2 linked regions of the Xenopus tropicalis genome follow. The protein of the gene in region 1 purifies or fractionates together with the protein of each later gene. This does not show direct contact. Links are inferred from orthologs where the notes say so. Each region holds a gene or a part of one and is shown on either strand. Other genes may lie near its edges.

Region 1 (3,832 bases):
ATGAAACACGAGAACCTCTTGGAGTTCATTGCCGCGGAGAAGAGGGGGAGCAACCTGGAGATGGAGCTGTGGCTCATCACTGCGTTCCATGATAAGGCAGGTTTTCTACTGGAGCCTGGCATTTTAACCTCAGAGTGAATTATCCCTCTAATGTAGCTGCTTTCTCTTCTCTTTCTGTGTAATGCAGGGTTCTCTGACAGACTACCTGAAAGGGAACTTAGTCACCTGGAATGAACTGTGTCACATAACAGAGACGATGGCTCGTGGGCTGGCCTACTTGCACGAAGATGTGCCCCGGTGTAAAGGGGAAGGGCACAAACCTGCAATCGCTCACAGGTAAGTCTGACTCTGACAGCCAGATATCCAACTCATGTATTATAAGGGATAATGTACCCCCTACTGTAAATGATAAGGATATTAGCAGTCACTGAGGGGTTCTGTGCCCATATAAAGGCACAAGGCTGCAGGCTGAGTTATACAGGGAACTCTGAGTATCACTCATGTATTATAAGGGATACTGTACCCCCTACTGTAAATGATAAGGATATTAGCAGTCACTGAGGGGTTCTGTGCCCATATAAAGGTACAAGGCTGCAGGCTGAGTTATACAGGGAACTCTGAGTATCACTCATGTATTATAAGGGATAATATACCCCCTACTGTAAATGATAAGGATATTAGCAGTCACTGAGGGGTTCTGTGCCCATATAAAGGCACAAGGCTGCAGGCTGAGTTATACAGGGAACTCTGAGTATCACTCATGTATTATAAGGGATAATGTACCCCCTACTGTAAATGATAAGGATATTAGCAGTCACTGAGGGGTTCTGTGCCCATATAAAAGCACAAGGCTGCAGGCTGAGTTATACAGGGAACTCTGAGTATCACTCATGTATTATAAGGGATAATATACCCCCTACTGTAAATGATAAGGATATTAGCAGTCACTGAGGGGTTCTGTGCCCATATAAAGGCACAAGGCTGCAGGCTGAGTTATACAGGGAACTCTGAGTATCACTCATGTATTATAAGGGATAATGTACCCCCTACTGTAAATGATAAGGATATTAGCAGTCACTGAGGGGTTCTGTGCCCATATAAAGGCACAAGGCTGCAGGCTGAGTTATACAGGGAACTCTGAGTATCACTCATGTATTATAAGGGATAATATACCCCCTACTGTAAATGATAAGGATATTAGCAGTCACTGAGGGGTTCTTTGCCCATATAAAGGAGGGCAGAAATGGTGAATGCTTATTTATGGTTATTAACAATTAGCCTGTTATGCATGACATTTATCTGTTTTAGTTACATTCCTACACATGCCATCTGTTAGGGCCCCTCTACAGGGATTGGCTGGACAGTTCACTGCAGGGATTGGCTGGTATTTAATATTCCAGGTTCCCTATTATCCTCCAGAACAAAATATAGTCGCTGCTTCCCGTAATGGCCGCCAAGTGCGACAGGAGTTAGACTCGAGCCGGGAAAGTGATTTTCTGAGGGCTCTCCAATCAGCAGTCGCGTGACATTAGGCCCTTCATCCATCGCTCAGCCGTGCATGTAGCCCTTACAATCATCAGCCCAAATATATCTGATTCCCCTGAAATCACTTTTTTCTTCTAATAATATATATGCTTTAAAGGACCACTATTAACTCAGAATTTCCCTGCAGAATGTTGATTACTGCTAAAGAATAAGTTTGCTGGCGTAAGTAGGAATAGTATCTGTCTGAACAAAGTATGAGAAAACCTACGGAATTGTACTTTCTATAGACAGCGCTATATTGCAGCCATGTTTGGCTAACCACACCCCCGTGACATTGTGTCATGCCGTGTTAGCTGCTAGACCACACCCCTTTAGCTTCTCTAATTTAACAGGGATGGGGACACCTTCATGAATGTAAGGGAGAGAGAAAGTGACAGTAACTGTCCATTGAGCTCTTATTTCCTTGAGACAGATCCATAAAATGAAGGTTTAGTGTTGCCTTTAGCTATTGCCCGTCTGTGTAAGCAGACATTGCCCTTACGCAACTTACAGCTACTGTTCCTGCCTATTTGTATATGAGTGGGGGCTGCCATGATTGCTCTGAAGAAGGAAAATTGCCCATAGACTCTATCAAAGCAGCGCCCTCTGTTGGTCAAACTTTATAGAAAAATAAAATGGTGGAATAATTATTCCACCATTTTATTTTTTGATAAAGTTTGACCAACAAAGCTTAGTACAGGGGAATCCCTATGTGCCGTAGTTTTATGGTATCTCTCTGTACAGGCTATGAGCAAACTTAGGGGGCTGTTCCTGCTGAATTGTGCTTAGTACAGGGGAATCCCTATGTGCCATAGTTTTATGGTATCTCTCTGTACAGGCTATGAGCAAACTTAGGGGGCTGTTCCTGCTGAATTGTGCTTAGTACAGGGGAATCCCTATGTGCCGTAGTTTTATGGTATCTCTCTGTACAGGCTATGAGCAAACTTAGGGGGCTGTTCCTGCTGAATTGTGCTTAGTACTGGGGAATCCCTATGTGCCATAGTTTTATGGTATCTCTCTGTACAGGCTATGAGCAAACTTAGGGGGCTGTTCCTGCTGAATTGTGCTTAGTACAGGGGAATCCCTATGCTGCCATAGTTTTATGGTATCTCTCTGTACAGGCTATGAGCAAACTTAGGGGGCTGTTCCTGCTGAATTGTGCTTAGTACAGGGGAATCCCTATGTGCCATAGTTTTATGGTATCTCTCTGTACAGGCTATGAGCAAACTTAGGGGGCTGTTCCTGCTGAATTGTGCTTAGTACAGGGGAATCCCTATGTTGGCATAGTTTTATGGTATCTCTCTGTACAGGCTATGAGCAAACTTAGGGGGCTGTTCCTGCTGAATTGTGCTTAGTACAGGGGAATCCCTATGCTGCCATAGTTTTATGGTATCTCTCTGTACAGGCTATGAGCAAACTTAGGGGGCTGTTCCTGCTGAATTGTGCTTAGTACAGGGGAATCCCTATGTGCCATAGTTTTATGGTATCTCTCTGTACAGGCTATGAGCAAACTTAGGGGGCTGTTCCTGCTGAATTGTGCTTAGTACAGGGGAATCCCTATGTTGGCATAGTTTTATGGTATCTCTCTGTACAGGCTATGAGCAAACTTAGGGGGCTGTTCCTGCTGAATTGTGCTTAGTACAGGGGAATCCCTATGCTGCCGTAGTTTTATGGTATCTCTCTGTACAGGCTATGAGCAAACTTAGGGGGCTGTTCCTGCTGAATTGTGCTTAGTATAGGGGATCTCCCTTTACAGGATATGAGCCCATTTAAAGGAATATCTGTACAGGCTTAACTGACTGTTAAGCCCAATTGCCTACTGGTTCTGTTGGTGGAATTATAAACACAACAGGATCCCTGTGAGAGATGACAATGAGTATATATCCTGACGGCATTAACTGAAGGCATTTTGGCTGATTCTTTGGAGAAACAAAGCAAATGGAACATACAGTAAATATAGGTTTAGATTTGATTATTTCTATTAGGCAAACCCATATGGGGAAAATTTCAAAGCAAAGGTTTACTGGCCCTTTAAAAAAAAAAAAAAGGAGTAGATATAAATATTTCAGGTCAGAATTACTTGTTTTTGGTGTAACTATACCTTTAAGGCGGGAGTCTGTAAATATCTTAATTATGATTCCTTTGTGCCGTCCCTGCCAGGTACAGCTGATCAGTGCCCTTTAATGCTGTGCGGTTTGTATTCTGTTTAAATGAGATTTCCTTTCCTTATCAATGAACGGTCCTGATGGGAATCTGTGCTGTTGCCTAGAAACCAGTGTACGGGGGGATGAATGGAAATGGCTTTGGT
Region 2 (3,832 bases), about 44 Mb from region 1:
GTATTTTACAGGCAATTAGATCATCGATTAACTGCCAAACATAATTAAAACATAGAACGGATCATTTACAATTTTTAGGTGCAGCATATGAAGCTAAAATAGGTTTAGAATAGCCCTACTGGTTTAGCTTTTATTGTGCATTAGGGGAAAAGTGCAGCTCAGGTATCATGTAGGCCTGTTCCTAACACCCATTATGTATCAGGGGGTAACTACAGTGAATTACTGTATCTGGTACAAAATGTTGCTTTGGTTTGTGGGAGCCACAGTGATTCTAGAAATGTTACATTGTGGTTAAGAACATGATTTTTTTTGTGCTTTGCCCATTACAATACATGTATCCTCAAATATTTGGTTGAAAAGTGATACAATGACAAATAACTTATATATGCCCTTTATTCTTCATTAAAATGTGTTTGGTTGGAGAAGAAATATAATAACACATATGAAGAACTGCAGGGTGGAATGTGTGAACAATGAATTAGATCTTACATAAGGACTTGATCATACAACATACCCCTATATCTGATTACACATGTAACTATAATTTATATCCTGTAGATCTGGTTGGTGTACACATAGACCACAAATGTAGATGACCAATGTGTTCTTGCCATCAACTCCTGTTGACTAAATAACCCCAACATACACCAATGAGTTAGTGGCCCCATACATAAAGTGACTGAACAGTTCCTTAAAAAATGAATACATTGGGCAGCTATCACCCTCTGTGGTTAGCTTTAGCATTAACAGCGTATAGCTTAACATTCTGCCTACATTTCTAAAGCTATAAGTCAATATATAAAAAGGATAAGGATAGACAGACCAATGCACTTGAATTGGTGTATACCTGACAAAACAATCCATTTATATCTAAGCTAACAGCACACAAAGCAGCTAAACAACATGTTTACTGAGCTGCTTTACTTTCTCTATACCAAGTGCCAAATTTTTAAATGCTATATAAAGATTCATATATGCAATCTAATAAAGAGATATATGCAGCGAACTGGATTTCCCCTGGCATCAACAGTGATCATATGTTCTATTCAGCATACATCTTTTTGCACTTGTAGCACATTATGACAATAAAATAAATCTTTATGACAACCTAGTGCAATGCAAAAGATTTGCCAACTTGTACATAACTACCATATCTTGTAGAGCTCTGTGCCAATTAGTGTATCCAAGTATCCATGACAATAAACCAACACATTTTGCATTTAGATGTTGCAACATAATTTATGGCCAAACCATGTAGTAGTGCTGTGCTGTAAACAGCATCTGTTCATGTGTTATACAAAATACAGTCTACATATCTACAACATACAACTAAACAATAAAGATAAAAATAAGATTACCATATTATGAAATTACAGTCTCCAAAAAAGCTTTCCGTGTGTTCCTATCAAATAAATGGGTACATATATATATTTTATAAACATATATATATATATATATATATATATATATATATATATATTAGTACTTGCTACAGTATATCTAGAGGTGTCAGTTTCCAAAATTTCCTTTGTATTCATGTTTTCCTCTTATACAGAACAATATGATGATCTTGGAATCTTATTATGAAATCCTTTTGTAATGCCATTTATACACACTGCAGAGCATCCTTCTGTTTACAGTGCAAATGAAACCCGTTCCCACTCATTTAGTTAACAGCAAAAGAAAGGTTCAACGATAGTTATATAAGCATCAAAGAATTCTACCAATGCTCTTCAGTCAAATCTTTTAATATATTTCATGATTGGATGGTGGGGTAAAGCACGGACCCAAGTTGTAAAACCTTTAAGCACATAGCAGAGTGATTTCTGCTCCATATTTGGATAAAAACATTGTGTATAGTTCCACAAAGACAACTATCACTGAATACAATTATAGGGGTCATTTACTTTGAAAAGAAAGGCAGCAGGCAAAGAATAGAGGAATAGAGGCAATGCACTTGTTTTTGCACTTTCACACTGCCATCCTCGCATATAGAATTGCTGCTGGTCTCTGCACTTCATTTCGGAACACTGTGTTGATTCTTTGTCTTAATTATAGTTATAGTTGTCTAACTAAGGAAAAGAAATAAACATACATCTTTCCATTCTTGAATTGCAGAGACATTTTCATTTAACAGTTATATAAAATAGTCTTCAATAAATTAAGAATATTGCTTGTAATGCAAACAGCCTTCTACAGACAAAAGGACAGGCTCTAGTTATTACCAAGGAAAACAAGAAAATATATGTATATTTATGTAAAATGATTCCGGGTTGATAGAGTAAGTTGCATGTCTTCAAAAAGTAATTTCTAAATGTAAAGCAAAACTCTTAAGCTCCTTGGCTAACATTTTTTTTTTGTTTACCTTCTCTGTCAACATTCAGGACCATCCAAGAAAATACTGCGCTTTGAAATTTCCAAAGAAGGTAGTAACTTTTTAATTATTGGAGAAGCGGACCTTTGGCTCTTCCTAAAATTGTCCAAGGCGAATCGAAGTCGCGCCAAACTGACTATACGGTTGTACCACCTGCAAAGAGGTCAGAAAGACCAACGTGGATCTGAGAACAACAAAAGTGAACTGCTTATTGCAGAAAAAGTAGTGGATACAAGGAAAAGTGGATGGCATACATTTCCAATAGCTGGCAGCATCCAGCGTTTACTTAATCATGGCAAATCAACCATAGATATCAGAGTAGCATGTGATCAATGCCAGGAGGCAGGGGCTACACCTGTCTTGCTTGGAAAACGTAAGAAAAAGGATGATGAAGACAAAGAAGCAGGAGCATCTGGTGTTGAGGAAGAAAAGGAGCAATCTCATAGGCCTTTCCTAATGATTGTTGCCCGGCAGACAGATGAGCATCCGCACAGAAGAAAAAAACGTGGCTTAGAGTGTGATGGCAAAGTTAGCATTTGTTGCAAGAAGCATTTCTATGTCAGCTTCAAAGATATTGGTTGGAATGATTGGATCATAGCACCTCCTGGCTACCATGCCAATTATTGTGAGGGAGACTGCCCTAGCCATTTTGCTGGAACTACTGGCTCTTCCTTGTCTTTTCACTCCACAGTTATAAACCAGTACAGACTGAGGGGCCAGAGCCCCTTCACCAGCATCAAATCCTGCTGTGTGCCCTCTAAGCTTAGAGCTATGTCCATGTTGTACTATGATGACGGTCAGAATATAATTAAAAAGGATATTCAGAATATGATTGTGGAGGAATGTGGCTGCTCGTAAAGTAAAGAAAATAGAGCACTGTCATTGTCAGCATTGCAATCAAAATACACTAATCAAGAGAAGTGCAAACGGACAAAGATCAAAAGTCAGAGTTATCTGGGTTTGGGGGGTGAACTTGATTCATAGTTACCAGCCTGCAGCAATTTTTATCCAAACGTGGACACCACTTTTTTAAGCGCAACTGTGGATTTTATTTTAAATAAAAGCACAAGAACAAATATATAGCTATTTATACAATGTTTGTGTATCTCTTGGGTACTTCAGTTAGTATACAGGCAGGTATACAAATGTGTATAAATAGGTACACTGTATAGATATCCAGAGAGTCATGTTTGATGCCATGTTGTCAGTCAGCAGTTCATAGTTTCAGAAGAGTAAATACATTGCGCAGGTGATCTCACCTTCTTCCTCTGCACTATCCTTGCAAAAGTAGACAAAAATGCAGAAAAAAAATTACAAAGTTAAATTTCACTACGGTGCTGATGATCTTAGAACTATGCAACTTTTTGGGTTTGAAAACCGTTTACCTGAGAATTAAAAGAGAGACTTTTTCAGTGGAAGTAACGTAAATATTTTTGTTCTTTCATGAGAGATACTTGA

The links.
Region 2: the proteins of acvr2b (region 1) and inhba purify together in Homo sapiens (affinity purification with western blotting; 3 studies listed by BioGRID and IntAct, with this or other methods). This does not show direct contact. The link is inferred for Xenopus tropicalis from reciprocal best matches to the Homo sapiens genes ACVR2B and INHBA.

The regions. Positions count from the first base shown.
Region 1 is NC_030682.2:13,800,938-13,804,769, reverse strand, and holds part of acvr2b (activin receptor type-2B precursor), read left to right. Parts: coding exon 1-96; intron 97-187; coding exon 188-336; intron 337-3,832. UniProt on the Homo sapiens protein: Transmembrane serine/threonine kinase activin type-2 receptor forming an activin receptor complex with activin type-1 serine/threonine kinase receptors (ACVR1, ACVR1B or ACVR1c).
Region 2 is NC_030682.2:57,864,737-57,868,568, forward strand, and holds part of inhba (inhibin beta A chain), read left to right. Parts: intron 1-2,384; coding exon 2,385-3,232; 3' UTR 3,233-3,832. UniProt on the Homo sapiens protein: Inhibins/activins are involved in regulating a number of diverse functions such as hypothalamic and pituitary hormone secretion, gonadal hormone secretion, germ cell development and maturation, erythroid differentiation, insulin secretion, nerve cell survival, embryonic axial development or bone growth, depending on their subunit composition.